Linked DNA regions of Cricetulus griseus. The protein of the gene in region 5 purifies or fractionates together with the protein of the main gene of each other region. This does not show direct contact. Links are inferred from orthologs where the notes say so. Each region holds a gene or a part of one and is shown on either strand. Other genes may lie near its edges. The genes, in order: Erbb2, Cdk4, Myh9, Hspd1, heat shock protein HSP 90-beta, serine/threonine-protein phosphatase 5 and Ikbkb.

Region 1 (4,538 bases), on a different chromosome or scaffold from region 5:
GAATAAGTTTCAGGCTGTTTGTTTTCGTACACATGGTTTGTTTTGATCTAATAACTTTGTACTTCAAATTGATCCCCACAAACATCGCATCTGCTCCAGAATTGCTAAATCTGAGACTGTGTAGTGAGCAATTATTATGCTGAGTACTTCTATAATGTTTTCTCCTTTAGCCCTCAGCTCAGTATGCTAGATCTTACAGATTTGTAAACCAAGACACAGAGATGGTTAGTCACTAGCCCAAGGTCACACAGCCAGTATGTGACAGATTAAAGATCTGCACTCATTTCAATCTGAGAGTCCTTGTTCCCTGGTTCCTAGTGTGAGAACCAGAGGCCACTGTCTTTCATTTCTCACTTCTGGCTGATGCCTCCATTTGCCTGATTGCCTCTTGACCAGCACAGGTGTGTTCTTGACTGGACCATTCCAACTAACATCATTAGATGTTAGCAAATAAAAAGTAACTATTCGAGTTCACTTTGAATTTCAGACAAACAACGGGTAATTTGTTAGTGTAAACATGTCTCCTGCACAGTGTTCTTGGAATTTCCAACAAAAAACACGCCTTTCTTTCCCCTTCCCAACTGTCACCAGGCCTCAGAGGCGGAGTCTAGGTACTTCAGGGGTAAACTGGCTAGAGAAAAGGACAGGGACAGAGGAGACACTGAACGAACTATGTACTGGGTGAACTTACAAAGAAACGGGGATGGGGCTTGAGAGGTGGCTAGGCGGTTAAGAACTTGTGTTGCTCTCAGCAGAGGACTGGAGTTCAGTTCCCAGCACCAACGTGGGCTGCACACAACTGCCTGCAATTCCAGCTTCAGAGGATTCCCACGCCTCTTCTGACCTCTGTTGACAACTGCACTTATATGACCCCTCCCCACCCACCACCCCAAAGCGCGAACACGCATAATTTGAAATAAAAATAAGTCTTAGAAAAAAATTAAAAAGGAAACAAGGATAGCTGTTCTTCCAAGGATGAACAGAGGTCCCCCGATATGACTTGTCTCCTTCTAGTTCTGTGGGTCCCTGTAAGATCTGGCTGGAGATACCCAAAAGGATGAAACTGACATTCCAGAGCGTCCTGGAAGTCACCAATTAGACATAGCACACCCTCTTCCCAGACTGTGGATTCTACCTGAAGGATGTAGGGGTAGACCCATTTATTTGACATTAAGGGTGTGATGGAGTTAGATGCAAAGGTCCCAGGAAAGTTCAAGATAAAACCCGAGACTGCAAAGAGGGGTAAAAGGATGCTCTGCTTTTAGTAAATGGGTGAGAACTGCAGCAAGTTAGCCAAGCGTCGGGGCACAGGGCGCGACGCACCCAGGCCTGCGCCGGGAGGGAGAAAGTGAAGCTGAGAGCAGCCACTCCCAGCCTTGCTGGAATGCAGTTGGAGAGGTGGGGGGGGCGAGCCGGGAGCGCCCGGCTCCCAATCACGGGCGGCGGAGGAGGTGGAGGAGGAGGAGGGCTGCTCGAGGAAGTGCGGCGTGAAGTTGTGGAGCTGAGATTGCCCGCCGCTGGGGACCCAGAGACCAGGAGCGCCCCTTCCCCGGCGGCCCCTTCCGGCGCCGCGCCTGTGCCTGCCCTCGCCGCGCCCCGTGCTCGCAGCCTGGTCCAGCCTGAGCCATGGGGCTGGAGCCGCAGTGAACACCATGGAGCTGGCGGCCTGGTGTGGCTGGGGGCTCCTCCTCGCCCTCCTGTCCCCCGGAGCCTCGGGCACCCAAGGTGGGTCTGGCATGGGGAGGACGCGGGCCGCTGCGGCTGCGCCCACGGGCGGCCGGGACCCCGGGGCCCCGGGAGCTCTACAACCGGGCGGTCCGGGACGATGGGGGATCTCGGCTGCGGGCGCCGCGGCCCGGAGGGGATCGGAGCAGCTGGGGATGGGGCAGTCACTGGGAGGACCACACTGGAGGTCGGGACCGGCCTCCGCCGGCCACAGCGGCGCTTCCCGGGCAGAGAGGCTCCGGGAACTCCTCGGGGAAAGTTCTCTGAAAGTTTTCCTCCCGAGGGTGTGCGGAGCGCTGTGCGTGCGTGCGCGTGTTTCCCCCCCTTCCGAGCCCCCTCACGCTTTCTCAAAGCTCTTCCAGTTGGCAGCCTCCGCCTCCGGACTGGACTGGGCAGGATGCCTTCGGGGTCCCCTCTGCCCTGCCCCTCCCCCTCCCCACCCCCCTCCGGCCCTTTGGGTTTAGTAAGTTACTCCAGCTTCCTGCGGGGTCGCGGAGGAGGGGGCGGTGGGGAAAGTAACCGGTCCTGTTGAGCAGGGAGGACCGAGTGGCGGGTCCGCAGTTGAGTTGCTGCTCCACGGTGTCTGGGGTGTGGAGGGGACGGAGCGGGGTAATTATTTGTTTTGCACAAGTTTTTTTTTTTTTTTCTTTTCTTTTTCTGTGCTGGAACACCCTCTACTGCACCCCCACACCCCAGTTGGGGGCGTGCTAGGCAAGATCTCTACTACCACTTGGGCTGCTCTCTCCACAGTTCTGTTTTGAACAAATTTCTTTAGAGCCAGCCTAAGTACTGTGTGCTTTGGGACTCTGGGAAAGCTGGATCTTGAAGGGTGGTCGTGTGTTTCCCGGCTTTCATTTGGTAAAGTGGGAAGGGTTCCTGGGCATTTTAAGGGGAAGGCATGGAAAAGAAGGCCAGCTACGGGTAGACAGAGAACTGGCTTGTTCGCTTGCCTCTGTCTTCGTGTTGGGGGCTGGGAGGGTGACCCGCCCCCAGTGTGTACTAACCCATATGTCCATTTCTACCCTAAGAGTAAAAGCTGATACACACTCGGTGTGGGTCTGCTCTGCCAGGCTCCGTGGGTGGCGGTTTGCATGCATTCCTTCTTCAGTCCTGAGAACAACTCCACAGTAGAAATACTAGTTAGCCTTCTCATTGTCCCAGGGTGAAAACATGGGCTGGAGAAATGAAGTGTCATCCAAGAAGTGGTGGAGCCCAGGCAGTGTGACTCCCAGTCACATATTTGAAATCATAATACGAATCTACCTGGAACAATGGGGCACTGCTTCCTGAATCAGGGAAGACATAGAAAGCAGGTTCTTGGGAGCCATGGATGCTCTCCAGCGGCCAGGGAGCCTAGAGACTGGTGGGGTATCATCATCTGTGTGTACTCCCAGAGCCCCCCAGAGTCAGTACACTGCTGTGCTTCGGGGGGGGTACCCCTGTGTGTCTGAGGTGTTTATGATGGTTGTATGTTTATGCTGCCAAACAGCAATCTCTCTGCTGACTTGGGGACACGAGATGAACTCTGCCCTCTCCAGGAACTCCCTCAAGGTACTAGGCTATATCTGCTGTAAACAGTGGGAGATGCCCCTTGCCTGGCTGAGGATGAGGGCTCTTTTCAGTTTCTCAGGAGGGCATCGTTCACCTGAGCCTGGGAGTGGAGTTGGCCAGGAGTGGCCTTGCGCTGTGGAGCGGGAGCCTGAGGGGTCAGTTCTCCAGATGGGGTGGGGGTGGGGCTGAGTCTCATTCCTCCAGGTGCACTGCTGGGTGCAGAGGACAAGACACTGACTTGCCAGGAATGGTTTAAAAGGCAGAGCACCATCCAGCTGCCTCTAGCTCCAGATTATACCCCAGAACTGATGATGTAGGGCAGGTGTGTAGGGGAAAGGAGATCTGGGGAAGGCCCAGAGGGGCAAGATGTTACTGGGATCCTCAGGGCTCTAGGTTTTGAGAAGTGCAGGGGACCTTGCAGGGTTTGTTCCTGTTGGTTCTCTCCAAACCCTTCCCCCTTTTTGCTATAGGGGGACTCAATAGATCCCTCTTGCAGAGGACATGGGCTCCATTCCCAGCACCCACTTGGTGGCTCACAGCCTTATAGCTCCAGTTTTAGGAGATCTGATGCTTAATTTTAACCTCCATAAGTACCGGGCATGTGTATAGTGTATATACAAGGACAGGCAAAATGCTCATACACATCAAATAAAATAAACCTTAACAAGAAAAAGAAAAAAAATGCATTTCAAAGTCAAATGAAAAGGCTTTCTCCTTTTTCCTGAGCTGTAATTACTCAGAACCTGCTATATGCTTCTCTCTCACCTTCTAAAAACTTCTGTGTGCTTCCTGTATGGCAGATCCCTTTCCATAGACGGCTCTGTTCCCTCTCTGTCCTGTCCTGTAAAGTGGGTGGGCATATGGGGAAAATGAACCTCAGAGACACGAAGAGACTTATCAGGGGCATTAAGAGGTGGTCAGAGTTCTAGGCATCAACCAGGGATGAGTAAGAAGAGCCTTGGGGCAGCCAGGCAGCCAGCCACACAGGGAAGAAGTGCTAGTCTGTTACTCAGTACGGCCTTTCCAGCCCCTAACCCAGGCTGGAGAAGGTGCCCTGAGCTGGGGGCCCAAGAATCCTTCCTGGCTGCAGAGTTAGCTCCTTTCCAGCCCATGCTAGCTTTTCTCTTGGGTCCTCAGCAGTGCCAGGGATAGAGGGCAGGAAGGTGCTGAGACCACCAGGACACACGGCCATGGGAATGTAGGTAGAGTAAGTGGAAACCTGAGGAGCTAGTGGAGGCTGAGCTGGAAGGCAGAGGAGGGCC
Region 2 (4,292 bases), on a different chromosome or scaffold from region 5:
ATGCCCACCCCAAAACGCTGTGCAGGTGTTTCCTGCATCCTACCCTGCTGGCCACTCATAGCAACAGGAAAAACTACAGCCTGTCCACTAACTAGAACTTGGTTCCACAATGGCCTTGGGCCCTGTGTTGTTTCTTCTATGTTCATTGCATGTTCAAGGCAATGCTCACATAGAAATCAGGTTAGGACAGTCTGGAATGCCGGTACTTCCCTTCCGCCTTGTTTGAGAGTTTCTTGTTAGTGCTGTATTAACCAGACTATCTGACCTGTGAGCTTCCAGGGAATTCTATCTCCACCACCCATTTGGTATTAAGAGACACTATAGAAGCTCACTGACACATAGCTTTTACTCGAGTTCTGGGGATTCAAACTCAGGTCCTTACACTTATGCCCTAAAAGCTTTATCACAGAGCCACCTCCCTGGCCCATGCCCACTACCAGCAGCAGCTGTGCTCCAGATTCCTCCATCTCCGGTACCACCGACTGCACAGGCCGCGGCCCTCTGGGGGAAAAGGCTCCTCGGGGAAGAGATACCTCTCGAGGCCAGTCATCTTCTGGGGGCAATCCAATGAGACTGTAGGGATAACACAAATCTGGTCAGGGGGGCTTTTTCCAGTTTCCATCTCCAGGGCCAACTGCCATTTGGAATTGAGCAGAAACTGAATTAAGAATGGGGAATTTTAGCCGGGCGGTGGTGACTCATGCCTTTAATCCCAGCACTTGGGAGGCAGAGGCAGGCGGATCTCTGTGAGTTTGAGATCTTGTAGACCAGCCTGGTCTACAAGAGCTAGTTCCAGGACAGCCTCCAAAGCCACAGAGAAACCCTGCCTCGAAAAAAACAAACAAAAAGGGGGGGGGGGATTTCTTTCCCCTTTATTGGACACTTACTCAAAGATTTTGCCCAACTGGTCAGCTTCAGAGTTTCCACAGAAGAGAGGCCTAAGGTAGAAAAATATTCCAAGTATATATTATTTCAGAAATAAGGGAATGATAATCAAAGTGGCTGAGATTAGAGAGGACGGAGAATAAGGGAACACAAAGTTCCTAATTCCTAGACATTTCAGGAAATTTGCCTGCATCGTTTCTGGTTTTAGGCAAGTTGGTGAACATAAACAGGATAGGTTGGGACTATAGCTGGGTGGCAGGGCACGCGCCTGATAAATACAAGAGCCTAGGTTGGGGCGTCCAGTGCCATATGCACAAAAATGGTCAAGAACGGGTATGTCTTGTAAAAAGACCCAGGGGCGGGGAGTGTAGTTTAGTGGTATAGAGCATTTGCCCAGTGTATGTGCAGTTCTGATTTCAACCTCTAACACCATAAGTAACATCAAAAGATTTGTGTAACTGAAGGGACCTAAGAGTTCCACACCCTGAGCCAGGTGGTGGCGGCAGGCGGATCTCCGAGGGAGTCACAGGACAGCCAGGGCTACCCTGTCTTAAAAAACAAAAGTTTCAAGCCCCGTACTTTCGACGAAACATCTCTGCAAAGATACAGCCAACGCTCCACATGTCCACGGGTGTTGCGTATGTAGACTGCAGAAGAACTTCAGGAGCACGGTACCAGAGTGTAACAACCTAAACAGAAGAGGAGAAACGAGTGAGAGTCCTTTTCATGGCTCATAGCTGCTGGGCTTTGAGAACGTCAAGCACAACACACCTCAGCTGCTACGGGAAATCAAGTACTACCTAAAGCCGAATCCCATTGGGGCTGCCATCTTTCCACTCACCACAGGTGTGAGGGCCATCTGGTAGCTGTAGATTCTGGCCAGGCCAAAGTCAGCCAGCTTGACTGTCCCATTACTAGTCACCAGAATGTTCTCCGGTTTCAGGTCTCGGTGAACAATGCAATTTGCATGAAGAAAATCCAGGCCGCTTAGAAACTGTCGCATCAGGTCCTGGTTTTGAAGGAGAAAGCCCCGGACACCATGTAACACGCTCAAAAACCCCAAGAGTCCCTACTACAAAGACCCGGATCCACCTCTCACCGAGCAGCCCGCTCACCTTGATGGTCTCAACTGGCAAGCCTGGTGGGGGTGCTTTATCCAGGTATGTCCTCAGATCCTGATCTATATGCTCAAACACGAGAGTGACCTTGATGTCTCGATCAGTTCGGGAGGTAGCACAGACATCCATTAGCCTGACAAAAATAAACAGTCGCCAGCCGGTCAATGTCCTTTGTTCCAACGTGGCCTCTGGAGTCCTAGGGTCCCACTCCCGACGACCACACCCCTGGCTTACAGATCCCATTCTTTCCTCCCCACTCCCAATCCAACCTCCTCACCGTACAACATTGGGGTGCTCGAAGGCCTCCAACCGCCTCAGTAAGGCCACCTCGCGTACAGTGCTGATGGGAAGGCCCCCTCCAGCTCCCCCTCCGTTGGGAACTCGCACACTCTTGAGGGCCACAAAGTGGCCACTGTGGGGATCTCGGGCCTTGTATACCGTCCCATAGGCACCAACACCGATTTCAGCCACCGGTTCATAGCGGGAGGTAGCCATTCTCGGAGCAGGGAGATCTCCTACAATCACAGAGGCTTCTAAAACCAAGCCCTCCTTTCCTTCACAGCTAGGAGGGGGGATGACCCAGCAGTAACAAAGGAATTCCTGCCCACGACCGCACCGACACAGCCGCCCATCCCCTCCCTCCACGCTGCCAGAGTGCCGCGCCTCAGGTAACACAAAAGACTCTCCCACCGAGCCCTCCAGCCACGTGATGTCCCGGAGGGGCGAAAAAGAATGCATTCCTCCCGGGGAGGAGGAGGGGGGAGAACGGGACATCGCACCGGGCACAAAGAAGACCATCACAATGCACGGCGTTGGCATCGAAGGTTGCACACTTTATTCCCTAAAATCACACGCTGGCCGCGACCACAAAGGCCCCGCTTCCCGCCCTTGGGCCATCCTTCCACAACGAGGGGATCCATAGGGTGGTGGCGGGGCGCCGGGCCCCATCCCTGCAAGCGGCTGCACTCACCTCTCGCCCGGCCAAGAGCTGCGGAGGTGGCCCTTTATCTGGGCCCGGGAGCCGGTTCCTGCGGCGCCATACACCGGGGATCGGTCCCGGGCAGCTGGACGCTACGGGCCAGACCATAGACACGGGCCGCGAGCTAGAGAGGCCCCCCTCACCCCCACCCTCCCCATGTGACCAGCAGCCAGGGAGGCGCGCGGAAACCGGGGGGGGGGGGCGAACGCCGGACGTTCGCGGCGGACACGTGGTCTCCATCCATCCATCCATCCATCCATGCATGCGCAGTGGATGACCTGGGATGGGGGGGGCGAAACTCGCTCGGGCACGTGACCTGTTGCTATCCCACGTGACCCCTCAGCTCTGCGCTGGGAAGCAGAGGCGTGGCTACGCCGCCTACCACGTGACCCGCCGCCAGTCCCTGACTGCCGAGGGGGTGTGTGGGGGCGAGGGAGGGTGGAGCACCAGGCGGTGCCATGGCAACCGGGCCAGCCGGCTCTCAACTCTGGGCTCAAGGCCGAGCCTGTGCGCATCTCTCCGTCTCACTCCTTGTCTGGACGTGGGCGGGGAGGTCCGGGTGCTAGTGGGAGATCCTGGTACCAGAGATGGGACTGTCACATTTTTCACTCCAGCGCCATGGGGAAGGAGCATTCGTATACTGTGCCTTCGTTTTACTCATTCATTCAACAAAAATTTTACTAAGGGCTCCTTTCCAGTTGGTATGTGATGTTTTTGTTTTGGTGTCTCAGCCATTCGCCCTCTGAAGTAATGATGAGGGTATCTAATGTAGGCAAGTGTGGCCCCTTATGAAACAGGGAGTACGATTCCTATCCAAGAAGGAAACTAGGGCTAAAAGATGGACAGCAGGATTAATATACTCAGTCACTGTATGGGAAGAGTGGCAACGTAATGCCCTCCCCTCTTCCAACTTGCAAACCTCCCTGGGAATATTAAAAGCAGCAAGGAGTTATTGGAAACTCTGTTGTTTTGTTTTTTTTCGAGACAGGGTTTCTCTCTGTAGACCAGGCTGACCTCGAACTTACACAGATCTGCCTGCCTCTGTCTCCCAAGTGCTGGGATTCTGAGATTAAAGGCGTGCACCACTACGGCCCAACAGGGTGCCTGATCTTAAAAGGCTCTTAACACTAAGATTCTGTATTGTGTTACATATGTATGTAATTGTGCATATGAACAGACAAAACGGTGAGCGTGTACAAGGGCGGTCACCAACACCACTTCAGACCACCATGTTGCCCGAGAACGTCTTGTGTCCCTCTGCAAACATGCAACTCATCATTGGTGTCACATTCCTTTTTATTTCTAATGCA
Region 3 (2,563 bases), on a different chromosome or scaffold from region 5:
CCCTGGGCACGACAGACATGGTGACTGAAAGGGGACACTCTACCAGATGACACAGCCAACTCCACTTCCTGGGGCCACACGGAGGCCTGGAGACCGATGCCCTAATCTTTTCTGGACACCTCTGGAGGTGTCTTTTCCGGACACCCAGTAGCTGCCATCTCAGGATGGGACCTGGGCTGACCCATGAGACCAGTGAAGGAGCCAGCCTATGGAGAATCTGAGGCTTGGGACCCAGCATGGTCCTCATTACTTCCAAGTCTCAGTTCTGAGCCCCAAGACAGCTAGGCAGGGTCTCTCACTAGAACAGCCCACAAAGCTCCCAGTTCTGGGTGTGGGCTATGGGTTCCCACCCAAACTCCATACTTCTCAGAACAAATGAAGACTGCTTGTGAAGCCTGGAAGACAGAGCTCATTCCTGACCCGACCGGCACTGACTGCCCTCAGTTTGGGTGGGGTACCTACTTGGTCTCATTGTCCAGCTGTTCCTCCAGCTGTGCAATCTTGGCCTCCAAGGCAGCAATGGAGGCCTTGTATTTGGACTTGACAGCACTCTCCATCTCCTGCAGCTTGGCCTTGAGCTCCTTGTTCTGGCGTTCGAGCTGCTGCCGCGCATTCTCGTTCTTCTGAGCATGACTGCGCTCCAGGTTCAGGTCGGTGTTTATCTGGTCAATCTGCAAGAAGGCAGTACGGTGACCTCAAGGGAGGGCTGGGGCCCAGCTGCATGGACCCTCTCCTCAGACATCAGAACCAAAGAACACCCCAGCTCTCTCAGAGAGGAATCTACTCATGAACAGGACCCAGAAACTTCTGAAGCCTGGTCTTGAAGCCACGGGTCAGAGGCATTGTGAGAACAGTGGACACTCATCCATCCTATTTCTGCCCGCCATGGTCTGCTGGACCACAGGGAGCTCAGGCAAAGAGTCTTGATCCCAGTATGCAGGGTCAGCGGCCACCACGATGCTCACCTGCAGGTTGGCCTTCTTCAGCCGGTCGTTGATCAGCTCTGTGTTACCCTGCTCCTCCTCCAGCTCCTCCTCCAGCTGGGCAATGCGGGCCTCTAGGCGCCGCTTCTCCTCCAACGCGAGTGCCCTGGAGAGGACCCAGAGACGTGAGGGCTTGGGTAACTGGGGAGGCCCTCAGACACCCTTGCTTGTGCTTCCTCCCTCTGGCTCACCCTTTGCCACTGCTGTTGGCGATCTCGTCAGCCAGCTCGTCCCGTTCCTGTTGGGCCTGGCGCTTAGCACGCTCAGCAGCTGCCAATTCCTGCCACAAGGACCAAGAACATAAATGACTGGGACCAACACAGCCTTCAGCGCCGCATGTCCTCTCTGGCCCTCAGCACATACCTCTGTTCCTCTAGCTCACAGGGTCAATTCCAGCCCGAGGCACCTTTAGGCATGTGTTTATAAAGCCCCTATGCCTAAGTACTTGGAGCCAAGCCAGGAGCCAGGGCTATAAACAGGAACCACCCAGGCCTAACAGGGACAGCTTGTGTGGACAGACCTGCAGTACTGGTCCCCTGCATATGGTCAGACCAGATACTGAGATGATTAATGAAGCAGGCTTGAGTGCAGGTTAGAGTCCAGGACTCTGCCACTAAGGGCAGCAGACAGACTGTAGAAACCTCCAGAGCACCACGCATGACGGTGACAATGGAGGGAGTTATCCTACACCCAGTAGAAGAGAAGAACCATGCCAGAGCAGAGGGTCTGACCAAGCATTTCATAAGCCGGCGGTGGCACTTTGTGGGAAGTCCACCACCCCACCTGTCCCCACCATGTGCTTCATGTGTCACCAAAGCAGCAGCCCAGGGGGCACTCAGGACCCTCCTTGCCATGTGCAATCGCTGTAAGCTTATAATCAACACACCGCTTCATGGGATGGACTGGGGACTAAGCAGTCACATTTTCTTTTAAAAGGTGGGGAGTACTGAGTCTCATCCTTGTCCCCATTACACATGTTCATGAGCATGAACGCATACACCATGCCATGCCAACTGTGTGGCTAGGGCATGAGCCCTGGAAGGACCCCTCCCATTAACTCCTGCCAGGAGGTAGCTCAGCTTTTCTGCCCTTCCCTTCTGGGCTGAGGCCTACTAACAGGAAAAGGCCCCAGGCTGCCCCCTGCTGGCCAGGAGGCAGAAGCCCCGTGCCCCACAGCTGGCCCACCTCCTGCAGCTGAATCATCTCAGCCTCCATGCTCTTGAACTTCTTCTCATTCTCCTTGGCCTGCGCCAGGATCTCCTCTCGGGAGGCGCGCGTGTCATCCAGCTCCCGCATGCAGTCCTTCATCTGGGCCTGTGTGCAGCAAGAGAGTCTGGCGTCTCCACCTACTTCACACCCGTGGGGACCTCTCTGAGCCTGGGACCATTTTGGCCAACCTCTTTATAAACAGGCAGAAAAGTAACCAAAGGCAAGTGGCTCTGCACCTGGATCCTCCTCCAAGGACTTACACAGCATTTCTTAACAGCAATGACCCCTGGATACAGTGCAAACTGTCCTCCTTACTTCTTATACTTTCTTTTGACTGTGGCAGCCATGACACACAGTCACTGACCAGGTGG
Region 4 (4,606 bases), on a different chromosome or scaffold from region 5:
CATTCCTTAGAAAAATAAAACAACTCCACAATGGTTTTCCTTCATGCGCGGTTCTTTGTGAAGTTAAATTATTTCAAAAAAAGACATCTACTATTTTAAAAGCCACTTGGTAATCTAGGATTTTCTACTCCTTTCCTTCCATATCACATATAAGACTCAGTACTGCTGTAGTAGCTCCCAGTTACCTTTCCTTTCGAGCCTGATCCCACAGCCACTACTGTTGCTTGCAATACTTTTCCTTGAGACTTTTCTGGAAGCATAATGCCACCTTTGGTCACAGTTTCGGCGGCACTCCTTTCAACCAATACTCTGTCAAAGAGCGGTAGAAACTTTTTGAAAGCTTGTCCAGCCTGCGGAGAGAAACGTGTTCAAACGGACTGTCATTGCGTTCGCAGCGTCAGACCACGAACAGTTAATACCGCTGCATGCCTTAACCTATAACGGGTCAAACGTCCCAAACTGACAAGAAAAATCTAGGTGTGCCTTTAGAAAATATTCTTGGATGTTTCATACCCTGTATATTTTAGTGCGTGTGGGTGGGTGGGGGGGTGTCTTCATTGCCCATCAGCACCCACACTACCTTTAACCACAACCTTGGTCTCCTCCAAGGTCAAACGTTTTCCTTCTTTAGATTTCTTTTTTTAATTCTAGTAACGCCGGGGAGAGAGTATCAATTTTTGAGCTGGGTCATATATTCTCCAACACAGTATACGTCCATGAAAGCCCTGGCAGGGCAGGTGGGCTACTGAGTGTGCATCCGGGTTCCCGCCCCCTACCCCGGGCTCCTGCAGCACACGTGCGTGCAAAGAGGCCGTGGTGGAGAACCGCATCGGACAGGCCTCGCTCCTGCGGAACCCGGGCGGGCGCCGAACACTGCGTGGCCCCCTGCCCTGCCGGTGCTAAACCGGCACACAGGGGGGGACACCGTGGGTCGCGGGGGACCCCGACCCGCAGGCAGGCCTGCCAGCCCAGGGACACTCACCATGACTCGCGCCGCCGCCGCTCGGACTCTGCACTCGGGCCGCCGCTGCAAGGAGAGTCCTGAGGTCCGGCTCGGGACACGTGAAAAAGCCACGCAGCGCGCAGGCGCAGGCGCACGCGGCCCCCCCCCGCGAGCGTGAGAGAGGGCGGCCACGGCAGCGCGCGCGCCGATTGGTGGCGAGGACTCCGCGCAGGCCGCCGAAGGGGGCAGCCGGAGGCGGAAGAAAAGGGGCGCGCTTTCTAGGCTTTTCCAGGCGGCCCGCTGAGGTGAAAGAACGAGCCCTTCGTCCTCCTCCCGGAAATGACGCCACCTGACCCTTGACCCACGGGAGGCGCAGCGCCCTTCCGGAAGGTTCTAGAACGGAGCGAGGCCCAGGAACCAGCGTAGGGCGGCGGGAGAGGGTTGAGCCCGCGGGGCTGAGACCGCTCGGGTACGGGGGGGGCGGGGCCACCCGCGCCGCATGCTGATTGCAGGGCCCGGGCGTGGGAGGGAGCGGGGCGCGCGCGCACGCGGGGCCGCGGGGCGGGGCCGCGGAGGGAGGGGACTCGGACTCATTGCGGTGCGCGCTCTGCGCTCGGTCCCTCACTCGCCGCCGACGGCCTGCTTCGCCTCGTGCCCTCCCGCCGCCGCCCCGCAGGTACACGGCCTCGACGTGCATGGCGCCCGGGAGCTCGCCGGCCTGCTTCCGGCTGGGCCCGAGCATGGCGGGCTAGGGGACAAGGCTGGCAGCGACGCCGCAGGCTCTGCCGGCCTGTCCAGGCCCGACGGGGCCACGCGGGTTTCATCACGTGCGGCGGGGACCACGCGACCCAGGCCAAGCGCGGGAGCGAGGACGGGCTAGGGTGGGAGCCACTTGGGCCCTCTGGTGCCACCTGCGCCTGGCGCACTGCAGGACTCTTGTCGGAGGGTGGTCGCGGTCCCTTCTCGTCCCCTCTGGCTGCGGGGATGCGGCGCCTCTACTTTGACCTTGCCTGGGGCTCCTTGTCGGGCAGACACGTGGGGCCGCGCGAATGGGCTGAGCTGCGGTCCTGGGTTTTGCGGCCTTGCTAGTTGCTGTGCTACCGTAGCTCCGGGTGGACACCTGGCGTCACTTTTCCTGAGCGGGGTTTTGCACCGTCATGAGTACTTGTATAGTTCCCTGTGCTCTTGCATTTGGAACCTGCCTCGCTTACGCCAGCTTGATTTTTTTGCCCCCCCCACACACACTTTTGGAGTGGATCTGTTCCTAAGGCCGCTTTGCCAGTGAAAGATTAACTCGCGGTGGCAGGAGTGGGTGGCCATGGGGAATGGTTTTGTGTGCTAGGGCTGCAGGTCAAGCGAGCATGGGGGCGGCCTCCTTAATCCGTTGCTAGCAATTGATGTCCTGAAGCTGCAGCGCCGTGTGTGGCCCAGGCGTGGCGGTTAGCAGAGGACTGCCAAGCTCCAGTCTAGCTAGCCTCCATGTTCTGAAGCACAGGTGGACAAGTTTGTCCGTAACTAGTAGTGATCCTTTGCTTTTTTTTTTCCCCCCCTCTCCCAGAAATGCTTCGACTACCCACAGTCCTTCGCCAGATGAGACCAGTGTCCCGGGCGCTGGCTCCTCATCTCACTCGGGCCTATGCCAAAGATGTAAAATTTGGTGCAGATGCTCGAGCCTTAATGCTTCAAGGTGTAGACCTTTTAGCGGATGCTGTAGCTGTTACAATGGGGCCAAAGGTATCAGTATACTTTAAATCGTGTTAATAAAAGAATAGTATTCTGTAGCTGCAAATTAGACAGTATTTGTTAACAAGTTTTATGAAAATCTAATTTGAGTGTAGTACATGTTAAGTGATTTGGGGGTGTTATTTAGGAGTTTCGTTAGTTGGTGGCCTTAATACTGCTGCAGCCGATTTGGGGGACTTTTGTGCAACATGATGTAATAGAGTAGTAATAGCTCAAGGAGGATTTTCAAACTTTAGGCGTAATTAATCTTGTGTGAATGCTTGCATTAAATTTTGGATCCTTTCCCAGGAGTTAGAGGGTATAGAGGGGAAAGGACAGCTCAAGACTAGTAACACCTCAGAGTGTAATTGTAGATGTGAGGTTTTACTTAACTGTACTGAAGTATTACAGTATGCATACAGTAGATGCGATAGCATAGAGTTTAGATTTATTTATATTTTTATGTGCATTGGTGTACTGTCTGCGTGTATACCCATGTGAAGATCCCAGAACTGGAGTTACAATTGTGAGTTGCTATGTGGGTGCTGGGAATTGAACCTGGGTCCTAACCACTGTGGCATCTGTCCAGCCTAAGTTAATATTTGTGACTTCGTTTGCATTGTTCTGTAACTCACCATCACACATCTCCAGAACCGTTTTCACTTGCACATGGAAAAGGCTATCTGGTCTCCCATTTATCCCTCCATTGTGCATACCTCATGATTTCTCTGCCATTTCCACATTCCAAAAGTTTGGTTTGGGGTTTTTAAGAGTCTCGATAGCTTAGTCAGACCTCTAACTCGCTTTGTACCAAGACTATCCTTGAACTGATTGTCCCAGGTATGTAACAGTTTAGTATACTATTCATCTGGTGTTTATTGAGACAGGGTCTTTAGCCATAGCTGACCTGGAACTCCTGTGGACCAAGCAAGCTTGAACCTTGAATCATTGCTGAGATCCAAGGCTGGAGTCACTCATCTGTGTGGTTGAATAAGGAGCCATAGTACTTTGAGGACATAATTGGATGTGGGGCACAGTTGCTTTAAATTGACGTTAAAGCCATCTAAAGAGCTTCGTAAAGTGCTGTTTATATAGGTCAAGACAGAATAGCTTGGTTCAAATCCAAGTTGCCAATACTGTTGGTGTCAGTTTTGAAGTTTTGAATTGCATGAGCAGGAAACAGTAAGTTAAGAACAAACTTACTGGCTGATATTTAGTGAATGGATGTTCAAGTAAATTGTACTTAAAAGCAACAGTTAATAAAAAAGTAATAACAGTTCATAACCAAAACTCGTGTACAAGTGATGGAAGGGTGTTCCAGGATTGGTGATTGTCACCTGTGCTATCTTGTTTAATAGGTGGCATCTCTTTGGGTGGGTGGGGGATGTTATCTACTGTTGTACCTCAGAGTTCCTTTTGTCTATAGACCTAAGAATGTTGATTAACTTGACCTTTGAGATTCACGTTTCAGGACTGTTAAAAGTGACAACTTTGAAGTTTATGGTTGAGGGTTGTTATTCTGTCATTGTAGGGAAGAACAGTGATTATTGAACAGAGTTGGGGAAGTCCCAAAGTAACAAAAGATGGGGTCACTGTTGCAAAGGCAATTGATCTAAAGGATAAATACAAAAATATCGGAGCTAAACTTGTTCAAGATGTTGCCAATAACACAAATGAAGAGGCTGGGGATGGCACTACCACTGCTACTGTTCTGGCACGTTCTATTGCCAAGGAAGGCTTTGAGAAGATCAGCAAAGGGGCTAATCCAGTAGAAATCCGGAGAGGTAAGAGCATGTCATTGACCCTACAGAAATGAGAGTATTGTCTCATCTTTTTCCTTTCTTAATACATTTGTTGGTGTGTGTCCATAGACAAGATGGGAGTTGTCCTCCCTACCCTTAAGGGTCTCATTTCCTTAGGTGCCGTATTGGAAACAGGCAA
Region 5 (4,569 bases):
ATCAATGTATTTTTCCTTAATCTTCTTTGTTTTCTTTTTCTTATCTTTGCCACTGTCATCTTCCTCATCTGATCCCACATCTTCAATCTTTGGCTTTTCCTCATCATCCTTATCTTCTTCCTCTTTCTCACCCTTCTCTTCTTCTGCCTCATCATCACTGATCTCCTTCTCTCGTTCCTTCTCCAACTAAATTACCAAATTGGATAATGAGTTGTGGAGAACTTATCACCAGCAAAGACTGCTCAAATACTGCCAAGTCCATACTCACATAGAGGGTGATGGGATAGCCTATGAACTGCGAGTGTTTCTTCACCACTTCCTTGACCCTCCTCTCCTCTAAGTACTCTGTCTGGTCTTCTTTGAGATGAAGGATGACTTTGGTACCCCGGCCAATGGGCTCACCTATAAAAAAGTGAATGATAGAATCAAGACATAGAAAACTACAACTAAGCTGGGCGGTGGGGTGGTGCACGCCTTTAATCCTGGCAGGAGGATCTCTGAGTTCAAGACCAGCCTGGTCTACAAGAGCTAGTTCCAGGACAGCCTCCAAAGCCACAGGAAAAACCCTGTCTCAAAAAACCACAATGAAGAAAAAAAAAACAAACAAAAAAACTACAACCAAAATACTCAACCCCCTGCTCCCCATTTTGACACAGGGCTTCTATGTAGCCCAGGCTGTCCTAAAACAAGAGATCCATCTGCCTCTGCCTCCAAAGTGCTGAGATTAAACAGTGCATGATCAAGACTTTGGACTTTCTATCCTCCAGAGAATTCTACCAAGCATCCAAACGAGGACAGGCAGCTTACCATGGTCTGCACGCACTGTGAAGGATCCACCAGCAGAGGACTCCCAAGCATACTGCTCGTCATCATTGTGCTTTGTGATCACAACCACTTTCTCTGCCACGAGATAGGCAGAGTAGAATCCAACACCAAACTGCCCAATCATGGATATGTCTGCACCAGCCTGCCAAAGGATTTTAAAAGTTAAGAGGTAAGTAAAATGGTTCTGCACAAGTGCTTGCTGAACTCAAGTGTAACTATCAAGTAGTTCAATCCCTGGGACCTACTGGCCAGTAATCCTCTGATCTCCATAGGTTAAAAGCCTACCATATCACTAGTGAAAACAAGTACTGAAAAATTAACAAGTCAAAAGCAGTATTGAGAATGTTGTGGATATAGGGCCACACACCTGGAGAGCCTCCATGAAAGCCTTTGTGCCAGACTTAGCAATGGTTCCCAAGTTATTTATGAGATCAGCTTTGGTCATGCCAATGCCCGTGTCCACCAAAGTCAGCGTGCGCTCCTGAGGGTTGGGGATGATGTCAATCTTCAGCTCTTTGCCGCTGTCCAATTTGGAAGGGTCTGTCAGGCTCTCATAGCGAATCTTGTCCAAGGCCTGTAAATAAACACACAGCCACATTATTCCATTTCTGCAAACATTGTCTTGGCTCTCAACCCACGGCAGACTCCTCTCAATCCCTCACTGGGCTTCTATGAAGCTGTGATACTCACATCAGAAGCATTGGAGATCAATTCTCGAAGGAAAATCTCCTTGTTTGAGTAGAAAGTATTTATGATCAAGGACATGAGCTGGGCGATTTCTGCCTGGAAGGCAAAGGTCTCCACCTCTTCCTCGCCATGGTGCACCTCCTCAGGCATCTAAGAAAGCATTACACATTAATTACTAAAACGATGGATGCACTTTAAACTCCAATTCAAAATGCTTTAAGCTGAGTAGTATCCATTCCCAAGGGATGAGAACCGCCATTTTTAAAAAGACCTTGAAAAGCTACAGTAAGCTGGTAAACCGAAAACGGAAAAAACTCAAAGGATGGATGGTTCTTCAAACAAACGCAGCCAAAACGGTATACTACAGCTCAAACAGGCTCAACCCGACAACATACCTTGTTAAAATTCAAGAAATGATAATTCGTTAGCTACCCGGTGAACATATACAGGAAACCCTTTACAACTTTATTTGGGCAAAAAAGAAACTAACAGAAACAGCAGCCATTTCTATGTGCCGCTCCATCCTAGCAGGAGCAGGGAACCCGAGGCTGCAGTCATGGAGGCACTCAAGGAGCAATTAAACCAGGACAAAGAGGTAAAAGCTCCACCATGACCTCTCTCACTGCGCAGACTTGCATAGCCCTGAACACAAGTAAAATGGTGGCCCGAGCCTTCCAGCGACCCTCGTCACTGCCGGACACGCGTCGGCGGCAGCCATCGGGGAGGGGGCGCCACCGCAACCCTCCCACTGCCCCAGCATCCGGGCACTGGGGCGGGGCACCAGGAGCTTCCAGAACAATCTGAGCTCCAGGGCGGGGAGGAGTAGGGGAGGGGTAGGGGAGGGACCAATGGATCTTCCCGTGCCAGCCCCCTCCGGGTTCCTCCTCCTCCTTCCCCGGAGCGCAGGAAAGATCTGGAAAGGCAAATGGCAGTGCGCTCAAGCGTCCCTGCCACCCCGTGGACGACCCCCACGCCCAAGAACCCCAACCACGTTGGGAAAGGCGTCCAAAGGAGGCGGCCAGGCCAGCCTCACAGGGCCGTGCTGAGTCACGCCGCGGAGCCCGCCACCGCGCGGCCCCTTCGGACCCTGCAGCTGCGCCCGGAAGTGGAGGGCAAACATGGCAGCGTCCCAGGTCGGCGCCTACCACGTGCGGCTGCCTTGCACACAGCTGGGCCGCGCCCCCACCTCACGCGCCGGGGCCCCAACCCGGGGCCCCAAGGAGCCTCGCCGAGCCACCCCGCGGGGCCAGACGCAAGCAGCTCGGGGTACACCAGCCCACAGGCCGCCCGGCTGGGCGGGGACCTTCTAGGACGGATGCGAATGGGGGGGGAGAGCCCGGGGAACGAGCCCCGGGAAGCCGCAGGGCCGGAGGCCGCGGCCTTACCTTGACAGGAAAGCCGAGTAGTAGTACAGGGCCGGGTGGGCTCGGAGCGCGACCGACTCGCACGCGGAGGTTAGTGTGCGCGGGGGTGACTCAAGAGAGCTCCCAGACGCCCCCGACCGCCCTATATAAGGCGAAGCACAGCTCGGCCCCGCCCTTGGATCCCTCCGCCTCAGGGGGCGGGGCCGCCGCCCGCACCTGCCGCCGCCCGCCCACCTTGACGTCATGGTAGCAACTGGGGGCGGGAGGGGGGGCGACCCGGGGCCTGTGCGGCGAGCCGAGGCCTCTCCTGCACGACCAGGACAAGGCCATGGCAAGATGAGGGCCACGGGGTGCGCTTATGCTGCTAGGGATGTGTCCACGCGCGGATATCCCGCCGACTCCCCCAGAAACCTCGAGGCAGGCGCCTCCACCCCCGACTCGCAAGAGCACCGAGATGGCTAACTCGGCTGCCGTTCTCTGAGCCCACCTCCCAGAGTGTTCCCTACATGGAGAGAGCAGGACAGTGGGACATTCGCTGTCCAGCTGGAGGGGGTCCCGATGCCCACCCTCCGGAACGGGGCCGCAGCTGCAGGCGGCGAGCAGCTGCTCGGGCGGGAGGGGCGCGGGCCTGGGCTGCCAGGGACTCTTTGGCGGCGCGCGGCGGAAGGAGCAACGCCGGCGGTACTGCGATTTCTTCCAGCAGTTTCTAGGGCTGTCTCGGCGGTCTCAACCCCTCCCCCCGAGGCTCCACCTCCCCCCGCTGCGGCGGGGGCAGCCGCTCGGCTAGGCGCTACCTACTGCCCGGCTCTTAATGCCGAACTGTGTCCCCCCCCCCAATGCTCCTACTGTGCGCTATGGTTAGACGACCCCGGCCCTGGGAGCCCCACATTGCTGCGGGGGGGGGCGGGGGTGGAACGCGGGATGGCGCCCAGAGAGAGGGATGGCTGACCTGGATCGGTCGCAGGGCACGTGATCTGCGGGGGTGAGTGACTGCGGACACCTTTCTGTGAACAGACCGGGGACCCCACACTGATGGGTGGGACACTCCCCACCCCCCAGCCTCCGAGGTGGCCCACGGACAAGGCGCACGGGGCCGTGCGCCCTCCCTTTGCGAGCACTGCAAGCTGCTTCTCAAGCTGGTTTCCCTTTTTCTAGCACTCTTGCCTCCTGCAGCTCTTTGGACCTAGGGAGAGGGAGATCTCCATCTTATCAGATTAGCGGGAGCTCTAGGCAGCTGCGTGAAGATGCTAGTCACGGGTTGGCCCAGTTCCAGGTGCCAGAACCAAATTGCGCTAGTACCTCCGCCCTGCCTTCCCACTGGGCTGTCTGTCCAGGCCTCGCCTGTCCGTCTAGCCTTGCCATTTTCCAAGGCCGCCTCTGGAAGCGAGTTGGGCTGATGAGCCCACCAGGAGAGAATGGCCACTCCGTGCTCTGTAAATGTTCCTCTCCTTTCTTTGCCGGCTCTGGCCAAGGTCTCCGACGCCACCGCCCACACCTTCCTTCCTAGTGCGTGCATGCAGCCCATCTTCCCCAATGTGCTTTCATTGTTTAGCAGTGGTTGCCTTCCCATTTTCCTTTGCCTCTGTCCGCTTCAGTTCACCTGACCCTGCTGTCTTTATCCTCTCAATTGTATCGGGAGAGAAGCCTGTAGAAAAATCAGTGAATATAGAGATTGCTAAAAAGACCCCAGTGT
Region 6 (3,856 bases), on a different chromosome or scaffold from region 5:
AAGTGGATGTCCTGGCAGTCCCTGCTACCGCCATCAAGGCTGTCATGTCAGAGCACATCAGCAGTAGGCAGTGGTGGATGAGGAAATGTCATCCAGGTCCCTTCTCTCATGTCCACAGGGGAACGTGTCCCTGGAGGCTGTCTGTCCCTCCACATGTGTCACCCTGCTCTACTTTCTCGGAACCGCTACTCTCTGCCTACAGTCATTTCCCTTGCCTAGTCAGTGACACATGGCTCCCACCTGCCAGATTCTCAAGCTATCAAAGGTTTGTTCGGTCCTTGCCAGTAACTGCTACCATTACTAATCACCACCACTATCAACAGTCGCAGCAGTCACAAGGCTGAGCTACCAGCGACCACAGACTACGTGCCTGCATGGCTCCAAGCATGCACACAGTAGAAACTCTCCTGCAGCCACCCGAGGCTGGGCCTGTCCTCAACACGCTGAGGGCACAGGAAGGCAGAGAAGCCAGGTGATTTGTCCAGGGTCATAGAGAGCACGATGGCCGAGAGGTAGAATCCGAGAGCCTAGAGTCCTCACGGCATCTGGGTGAGCCTTTGAAAAGAGGAGACACAGAACAGCTCCTCCCCGTCCCTGGTGTTCCCCCCTCCACCTGGCTAGGGTACCGGGAGCTGGCCCGTGCCCGAGGCCCGGCTCACCGTCTCGTAGTCACGTAGGGCAGCTCGGAACTTGCCCAGTGCCATGTTGCTGGCCGCCCGTCGGTAGTAGCCTTTGATGTACTTCTTGTCAAGCTCGATGGCCCGAGTGGCATCGCCCAGGGCATAGCCGTAGCACTCGGTGCGCAGGTAGGCCAGGCTGCGGTTGCCATAGTAGATAGCATTGTTGGGGTTCAAATCGATGGCCTGACTGTAGTACTTGATGGCGTTCTCGTAGTCCTTGGCTGTGGAGGAGAAGGAGGCATGAAGCCCTGTTGCCACAGGTAGGGGGGATCCACCCTAGACTGACGGTCCTTGTTACAAAAGGGAAGACTAGGGCTGGAGAGACGGCTCAGTGGTTGAGAGCACTGGCGCTTCTCCCAGCAGACCTGGGTTCGGTTCCCAGCACCCACACGGCAACTCACGGCTGTCTGTAACTCCAAGATCCGACACCCTCACACAGACATGCACGCAAGCAAAACACCAATGCACATAAAGTAAATAAATAAATATATATTTAACAAGAGAAGATTGGGGTTCAGTATGGACTCTGTCCCTCCTCCCTGTCCCCAATGTCTGACCATAGCCCAGGTTTTGAGGCTCAGGTCACAGTCTCCAGAACCTGAATCAATCCACACATCGGCCCAGCAAAGTCCAGGCTGGGCGCTACTTCCTTCAGGGCTCCAAGTCTCCCCATGATCAGAGGGGCACGTCAGGGAGTGCCAGCACTTCCATCTAAGCCAGGCAAACTGAGACAGTCCGAGCCTGTGGCTGTCCAGATGCCCAGAGTAAGCAGACAGGTCCAGAGATGGGGAGAGCGGGAGGATGAAGGGAGGGAGCTCTTTAGGCTGCGAGGAGGAGCTACAGCAGGTGTGGAGGGCGACCAGCTGGCGCAGGAGGGCAAGCGCTGGGGGAGGGACAAGGGTAACTCCCCTCCAAGGGTAAAAGGTCAGACTCTATGGGAACTGAGGAGCACAGCTGGGCCCTGGGCTCTCCATCAACCTGTGGGACCCTCCTGTCCCCACAGCATAAGCAACATCTGGTGCTCACCTGACACAAACCACAGAGGCCTAGTTCAAGGTCAGAGCCCCAGTCTGTACTGGCAGAGGTTAGGCCTGACCCCTCCTCCCGAGAGGTCGTTACACAAACAGCAGAACTAGGGCCTCGGGCTGCTCTGAGAGACCTGCCCAGGCTGGGAGACCGCAATGTACCCGAGGCCACACAGCACCCCAGGACACATGGATCTTCAAGGAACCGGAGGGAGAAAGCCACATTAGCCCATCTCCTGATGAGGGTTGCTCAAGCTCAGAGAGGGAAGGAAAGCCTGCGCTTGGGGTCACATGGCAAGTGGCAGATGGGAATTCTGAGGCAGGTAGAAATGGCAAGGCCTCTATCCTACCTCCACGTGCCCTGGTGGGAGCCTGACACAGCACCCGGCTCAGACAATGGGAAGCCGGCCCAGCTCTGGTTTTTCAGGCTGGGTGTACTTGGACAACTTCAATACCCTCTCTGTACTTGAGTTTCAACCTGGAGTGGGGTTACTGCCCTGACCCCACCTCACCGTTCTCAGAGTACTCAGGGACTGTTTGCTGAACCCTCAACACCGTGAGGAAGGTGTCTGTCACCCTTCCTAGAGCTCAGGACTGATCTGGGGACACAGCCTTGCCCTCCAGGGACTGCTGGTGTATCAAGGAGAGAGATCTATCTGATCCCAGATAACAGTGACAAAGTGCTCTGGGCTCAGACAGCCTAAGGGCCTGATCCAAGACATGGGAGAGGGATGTGAGCAGAGGCGGCTCCATGAATGGGGAAGGAAGCACTTGGCCAAGGGAGGAGAGGGTTGGGGGTTGGGGGACAGGGAGAGACCAAGACCAGAGGCAGTACAGCTGGTCCTGGGGGTGCAGCTCAGCAGTCCTTCCTGGACTTCTGTCACGAAGTCCAAATGTCCCCTCTCAGGAAGCTCCACTTGACCTCCGGTCTGGGTGAGGCACCACCCTGCCTCCACCTTCCCTGCCCCAGTTCTGCCACTCTGGTTGTCTCCTAGGCCCATGAGCCCCAAGAAGGCAGGACCTAGAACTTCCCAGAAGCCACGAAGGCAGGAAGGTGCAGATGGCGGCACAGTTTAGAGGGCCCCTCCCAGGAATGTCAGTGCCTCTGAGGGCTTCCTTGGCATCCTGGCTGGGCTCCAGAGGCTGCTGGTTAGTACTCAGGTGGATAGGTGGGACTTCACCAAGTGGCAGAGAGTGTGTAGCCTGACACCCGGTGGTGCAGATTCCAACACAAAAGTGCAGACAGAGAGCCTCTTGCTGGAGCCTCAGCCCCTCAGACCACTTGTCCGCACCTGAGAACCAGGCTGCACTTGGCCTCACACACTGCCAAATGGAGGAGGGAAGGAACAGTACACACAAGGGACAGGAGGCCCCCACCTTGAAGGCTTCCACCGGCTGTCACACTCCAGCCAGGGGCCATCCTGCAGCTGCGGCAGTACAACCCTCCAGGTATAGTCTTCCTTCACAGAGGAGTGCCCTGAACCACCATGCAGTCCTTCCCCTACCACAACCCTTAGATCATGAAGACCCATAGGTGAGAACAGCCTCCTTCCTCAGGAAGAACGGGAAAGAGCAGAGGCTTGCTTCCTTTGGACTGACACTGAGCCGGGGACCGGGTTCTATCCCCAGAACCTTTACAGTAGGGCTGAGCTCTCAGAGGAACCCTCTGTGGTTGGGGATGGGCCTTCTGAGTCCCCGAGACACCCCCTTCCTTCACAGAGTACCCCTTTCTCCCCACTGAGGCCAGATGAGTCCAACAAGGAGAGCTGAGCACGTGGAGAGAGAGGAAGGAAGGGGATATCCGCCTCCTGCTCACACACTCTGACCTTGGGCAAGAAGTTTCACTCTGAGTCGGCTTCGGCTTCCTCTATAAACCTAAACCGCCACCCCCATGCCCCAGGCAGGTTCGGCTCAGGAGTACCTGGCCACCACAGGGGTGCAATGAAAGCAGCAGCAATTATTCTCTTTATTGGTATTCTTGTAGTATGAGCCTGGGGTTGTGCTTGCCACTGCCTGTCCACAGCAGTGGGAGGTCTGGACCAGGAAGGGTGCTCCTTCAAGCCAGCTCTAGGCCAGGCTCCTCTGGCTGACTGCCCTGGCCCTGCCCTAGGGTCCCGAGAACCTGAACCTCAGGACCTGGGAGGTGGGTGT
Region 7 (4,369 bases), about 29 Mb from region 5:
CAAGGTCTACTGAAAACATTAGCTTACCTGAACTACAAACAGTTTGTGCTAGGCCGTGAGCTGGAGATTTAGGGGTGTTCCTATGCAGCAAAGACTGGCAAGCCCACACTGTGTGGGGGAATCAAGAGCCAAGAGAACTGGAGCAGGGTCACTGCTACACTGCTCTTTTTCACTGAGGAATACAGATTTAGGTATCCCTTCATTTCTCCTTAGTGCCTCAAAATGGCTTGGGTAGACTATAAAGAAACAAACAGGACCTCCAAAATAACTGGGAATGTGTTAGGCATGTCCTAAACTCTAGTTCCAACCTGGAGAAGCCACCGTGGCATATATCATCTGGATCCAAATAGATGTACATGTTGACAGTATATCCTCTTTCTGAACATTAACTAACTCCCCAGTGCTTCTGTTTCTTGGGCTACAAAATGGAAATTAGAGTTGTCGACCCCAGAAGTGAATTATGTAAGATAAGGGTGGTTCACAGCTCAGGGCAATGCCAAACAAAAGCTGCACAGGAGACACCTAGCCTGATGCTGGCATGCAACAGGCTTACAGCAATGACCCTGGTTCTTAGGCAGCACTTCTCCTGTGATAGCTACATCCATTCTCTTGCTTATAGACAGGAGAAAGCACAGGAAATAGCAAGAACATGTGAAGCCAAGCATACTACCACATCTAGCTGCATTTTTCAAGAGGCTTGGGACAGAGGTACATCCACTAGAAAGCACACTGTACCTTTTGATCTCAGATATGGATTAAAGATTGTTTCTGCACATCCAAAGCAGCCCCCTGGCTTTCCCGGAGGATTAGCCCATGAAGATGGTGGAGGAATTCAGACTAAGCAAACGGGTTCTTCAGTCAGCACCACTTCAATCGAACTCCATCCCAACTCTGACCCCAATACCCTCCTATCCTATCCAAGTCCTGCTCATTTTACCCCTAAACAGCTCTTAAATCTGCCCACTTCTTCCTATCGCCACCATCAGTCAGGCTAGTCTCTCACCTAGACTACTCAAGACTTTAATTACAGCTATTTAGGAAGGACTGATTCCCTAGAAGGGTAGTTTCTAATTTTGGTTGTTTCTCAAGTGATGCCCAATACTAGAATCCAAAATAAAATAAAATAAAATAAAATAAAATAAAAGCACCTCCCAGGTCTATCAGAAGGTCCTGTAACTGGCCAGGTAGAAATGAAGATACAAATGAAAGAGACAATTTCAAATGTTGCACCCCAAAGATGGGGATTCCCCAGGAATTTCATGTTGGGAAAGGAGAAACCACCATCCAGAAGGGGAATTTGTCTTCTGAAGAAAGATTTGTTGACAAATTCTCAGAAAATCTTACAGGGTGACAAAAAAACGGGTCAGTGGTAAGCTGGACCACTGGACTGCTGTGATGCACATATCCATGGCCTTCTATTTAAACCTTAATCTCATTTAGGATCCTGAAGATGGACTTGGGAGGTTTGCTGGGTCTCTGTTCCTCCTCTCAATGTGACTACACTGACCCAATCTTCTGCTCTCCGATATTACATTAACTCTTAATGGGCTTATTGAGGATGGGTAGCAGTACCTGGCTTAGGGCACAGGCTGTGACCCCCAAGTTAGTCAGTTAGTTGCACATCGTATCTGGTACTCAGCAACCCTGAGGAAAGTGATCTACAGCAGAAGGATGGATGGAGCTACAGGAATATTACAGGTGCCACGAACTTTTTAGGCATTACCATAAACTCATTATCCAAATTGCATAAAATAACTCTCACACAGTAAACGGGTGACTTAAAGGGAGTCCCTCAAAGAATTCAGTGTTCTTAAACCACCAGCCCAAACCAAAACCTCTGGAAGAACAAAAACTTGTAACACAAGAAACTCGACTCAGACACATAAAGACCAAAATAATGAGAATATGATCAGCTCAAAAGAGAAATCAAGCCACTCACCATCCTACCCTCTGCACTTTTTCACCCATTATCCTTAACTCCTTGTCTTTTGTGCAGTTCGGTATTACAAAAGACTCCGGGTTTATCAACTATTTAAAAATATTTTAAAATTTAAAAGTTATTTAAAATATCTTTATTGCTCTCATCTTTTTAACACGGTCTGTATTCTGTGACATTCACCGGTATGCAATGCATTACATGCTAGTTTAATATTAGTCTAACACTTAGAATGACAGCTTTTTTTCCACCTTATTTAAGTGGCAGGGTTAACAAGGTTTTTAAGAGTCAGTTTAGCAGCTCTCACACCCCCCTCCCTTGCAGTCCCCCTTTCTTACTCTCCTTTTAGATCATGCTAAGACTAGGCGGGAGTTCACCGATTTGCACCGGCCTTGGCATTAGCAGCACCAAGAAAGTCCACCTGCTCTCCCCGGGGCCAGAGCCCTACCTGATTGTGCCATCGGATGACGTTTCCAAATCCCCCAGTCCCAAGTCGTTCTTTCATTTCCCAAACCCCACATGTCTGGGTTGGGAGGGACGGTGACCAGCTCATATCGATGCCCGGCTAACTCTGGAAGCAAGAGGAAGAGAAGACAAGTTCAGAGTAACGAAACAATGGAGCTCGAGAAGCAGGGGGAGGCAGTAGCGACTGCTGCCCTTCAAGGTAAGGAAGGGGAGCAGACTCAGAGGGTTTAGTTAATAAATAAAAGTTGCCGCGGCCCGGCCCGTTGGCGGTCCTGGTCCTCACTGCTAGCAGCCACCACCGCAGACCCCGGGAAGAGGCGGGGCACGCGTCCACGCGGGCCTTCCACGCGCAGCGAACGGCCCTCGCGTGGGACTCACCTGCCCCAGGGGCCGCGGGGCCGCCAGCGATACCCACAGAGGGCATGAAAACTTAGGGTCCCCACGCAGCCAGCCCAGAGCCACTTCCTCAAACACTTCCTGCCCTGACGTCACGGGAATTTGGCGGCTCTTAAAGGAGACGTGCGAGCCGCTCGCTGAGATGCAGCCACAGCCCGCAGGCGGGTTCTGGACTTGGCGGCGTAGAGACTGCTTTACCCTAGGCTTTTCGAGTTGAGTTTCATCGAACAAGCTAGGCAGTTAACGAGGGTCGGGAGAATCTGCTAAGTGGCTACTAGGACTGTAATACGAATTGCCTTCCTGTGCTCCCACTGCCATTCATCGAATCTGAATGCTCCTGGTTCAGTGCTAAGAATGAAAAACAGACACTGACACTCCTCAGAAAGTAACACACTCCCATCCCCCACCCCACCCCCCCAAAAGAGGAGGAAGAGTACAAAAACAAAGCAAAACAAAAACAAAAAACTGTGTCTACCTAAGCTGGAGTTGCAGTATTAGGTCAAGAACCAGGACACTCTCTCCTACCTGCCTCTCCCCTACCCCCAACAGGTCACATTCAGCCACTCACCCTCCATGGCCTAATTCACGACACAACTAACACTGAAAAGCCGAAAAAGAGAGAGAAAAGACAGAAAGAGGCCCAATCACTCCCACCCATGCCTCTGCGAACCCAGGTCCAATACTGGGGTCCTAACATAAGGTTTGGGTTTAAATGGAAGGCTAGAGGCATACATAACTAAGCAGCCCTGCTCAAGGTGTGTTCTGGTCCACCATCATTGTCTAGACTTCAATCTCTCCTGTATGGTTACATTTGTCAGAACTGCTTGAAAAGTTTTTGCCGAGACAAGCTTCTCTTATGTCTGGCATGAGGCTTTTGACTTACTGGCCCTTTATACCAGCATGGGCAGCCACCAGCAAGATTAACTCTCAGTGGATTGATGGATATGCCAAAGGTCTTCGTTGGATATCCAGGGGACTCTAAGCATTTGAACTCAAGAGTAGTGCAAATAAAGAACTTCTCACTCCTTTATTATTAAAGCAAGCAAAACAGTGAGCTCAGGCAAATACAAGGGCAGAGAGATCCACAATCAAGCACAAGGCTGAGCTTCCAAATCCAAAGACAGGGAGAAGGGAATGCATGAGCAAGGGAGGTCAAGATCATGACGGAGAAATCTAGAGACAGCTGAACCAAGTTTGTGGAAACTAATGAGCTCTAGGCAGAGAGCTGTGGAGACTCCATGGATCCAAACTAGGCCCCCTGTTTGTGGGAGACAATTGTGAAGCTTGGACTAGCTGGGAGGTCCCTGGCAGTAGGACCACAATACAAACCTGGTATATGAACTGGCTTGTTGGAGTCCATTCCCTATGGTGGGATGCCATGCTCAGCTTTAATGCTTAGTCTTGCCCCAACTTAATGTGCCAGACTTTGTTGACTCCTTATGAGAGCCCTTACTAGGGAGGAGGAGTGTGGGGGGGGACTAGAGGGGAGGTGAGGGAGAGTAGGAGGGAGAACTGAGGTGGAAACATAAAATGGAACTTAAAAAAAATTATAAAAAAAGAAAAAAAAACAAA

Evidence for each region.
Region 1: the proteins of heat shock protein HSP 90-beta (region 5) and Erbb2 purify together in Homo sapiens (co-immunoprecipitation; 5 studies listed by BioGRID and IntAct, with this or other methods). This does not show direct contact. The link is inferred for Cricetulus griseus from reciprocal best matches to the Homo sapiens genes HSP90AB1 and ERBB2.
Region 2: the proteins of heat shock protein HSP 90-beta (region 5) and Cdk4 purify together in Homo sapiens (affinity purification with mass spectrometry; 5 studies listed by BioGRID and IntAct, counting the BioPlex papers as one, with this or other methods). This does not show direct contact. The link is inferred for Cricetulus griseus from reciprocal best matches to the Homo sapiens genes HSP90AB1 and CDK4.
Region 3: the proteins of heat shock protein HSP 90-beta (region 5) and Myh9 purify together in Homo sapiens (affinity purification with mass spectrometry; 4 studies listed by BioGRID and IntAct, with this or other methods). This does not show direct contact. The link is inferred for Cricetulus griseus from reciprocal best matches to the Homo sapiens genes HSP90AB1 and MYH9.
Region 4: the proteins of heat shock protein HSP 90-beta (region 5) and Hspd1 fractionate together in Homo sapiens (co-fractionation; 3 studies listed by BioGRID). This does not show direct contact. The link is inferred for Cricetulus griseus from reciprocal best matches to the Homo sapiens genes HSP90AB1 and HSPD1.
Region 6: the proteins of heat shock protein HSP 90-beta (region 5) and serine/threonine-protein phosphatase 5 purify together in Homo sapiens (affinity purification with mass spectrometry; 6 studies listed by BioGRID and IntAct, with this or other methods). This does not show direct contact. The link is inferred for Cricetulus griseus from reciprocal best matches to the Homo sapiens genes HSP90AB1 and PPP5C.
Region 7: the proteins of heat shock protein HSP 90-beta (region 5) and Ikbkb purify together in Homo sapiens (affinity purification with western blotting; 3 studies listed by BioGRID and IntAct, with this or other methods). This does not show direct contact. The link is inferred for Cricetulus griseus from reciprocal best matches to the Homo sapiens genes HSP90AB1 and IKBKB.

Annotation. Positions count from the first base shown.
Region 1 is NC_048600.1:111,535,607-111,540,144, forward strand, and holds the start of Erbb2 (receptor tyrosine-protein kinase erbB-2), read left to right. Parts: upstream 1-1,440; 5' UTR 1,441-1,652; coding exon 1,653-1,725; intron 1,726-4,538. UniProt on the Homo sapiens protein: Protein tyrosine kinase that is part of several cell surface receptor complexes, but that apparently needs a coreceptor for ligand binding. Essential component of a neuregulin-receptor complex, although neuregulins do not interact with it alone.
Region 2 is NW_023276806.1:130,640,877-130,645,168, forward strand, and holds the start of Cdk4 (cyclin-dependent kinase 4), read right to left. Parts: upstream 3,132-4,292; 5' UTR 2,974-3,131; intron 2,519-2,973; 5' UTR 2,499-2,518; coding exon 2,281-2,498; intron 2,137-2,280; coding exon 2,001-2,136; intron 1,895-2,000; coding exon 1,727-1,894; intron 1,575-1,726; coding exon 1,465-1,574; intron 939-1,464; coding exon 888-938; intron 574-887; coding exon 438-573; intron 1-437.
Region 3 is NC_048595.1:374,865,511-374,868,073, forward strand, and holds part of Myh9 (myosin-9), read right to left. Parts: intron 2,298-2,563; coding exon 2,169-2,297; intron 1,264-2,168; coding exon 1,175-1,263; intron 1,090-1,174; coding exon 966-1,089; intron 672-965; coding exon 463-671; intron 3-462; coding exon 1-2. UniProt on the Homo sapiens protein: Cellular myosin that appears to play a role in cytokinesis, cell shape, and specialized functions such as secretion and capping. Required for cortical actin clearance prior to oocyte exocytosis. Promotes cell motility in conjunction with S100A4.
Region 4 is NC_048595.1:409,526,374-409,530,979, reverse strand, and holds the start of Hspd1 (60 kDa heat shock protein, mitochondrial), read left to right. Parts: upstream 1-1,494; 5' UTR 1,495-1,619; exon of another isoform or gene 1,620-1,700; intron 1,701-2,501; 5' UTR 2,502-2,503; coding exon 2,504-2,677; intron 2,678-4,196; coding exon 4,197-4,449; intron 4,450-4,606. Other genes in the region: MOB-like protein phocein, read right to left, coding at 186-350, 983-985. UniProt on the Homo sapiens protein: Chaperonin implicated in mitochondrial protein import and macromolecular assembly. Together with Hsp10, facilitates the correct folding of imported proteins.
Region 5 is NW_023276807.1:31,888,455-31,893,023, forward strand, and holds the start of heat shock protein HSP 90-beta, read right to left. Parts: upstream 3,037-4,569; 5' UTR 2,898-3,036; intron 1,663-2,897; coding exon 1,516-1,662; intron 1,400-1,515; coding exon 1,193-1,399; intron 968-1,192; coding exon 808-967; intron 403-807; coding exon 269-402; intron 187-268; coding exon 1-186. UniProt on the Homo sapiens protein: Molecular chaperone that promotes the maturation, structural maintenance and proper regulation of specific target proteins involved for instance in cell cycle control and signal transduction. Undergoes a functional cycle linked to its ATPase activity.
Region 6 is NC_048602.1:11,650,110-11,653,965, forward strand, and holds part of serine/threonine-protein phosphatase 5, read right to left. Parts: intron 902-3,856; coding exon 660-901; intron 1-659. UniProt on the Homo sapiens protein: Serine/threonine-protein phosphatase that dephosphorylates a myriad of proteins involved in different signaling pathways including the kinases CSNK1E, ASK1/MAP3K5, PRKDC and RAF1, the nuclear receptors NR3C1, PPARG, ESR1 and ESR2, SMAD proteins and TAU/MAPT.
Region 7 is NW_023276807.1:60,985,494-60,989,862, reverse strand, and holds the start of Ikbkb (inhibitor of nuclear factor kappa-B kinase subunit beta), read right to left. Parts: upstream 2,894-4,369; 5' UTR 2,780-2,893; intron 2,508-2,779; 5' UTR 2,490-2,507; coding exon 2,385-2,489; intron 1-2,384.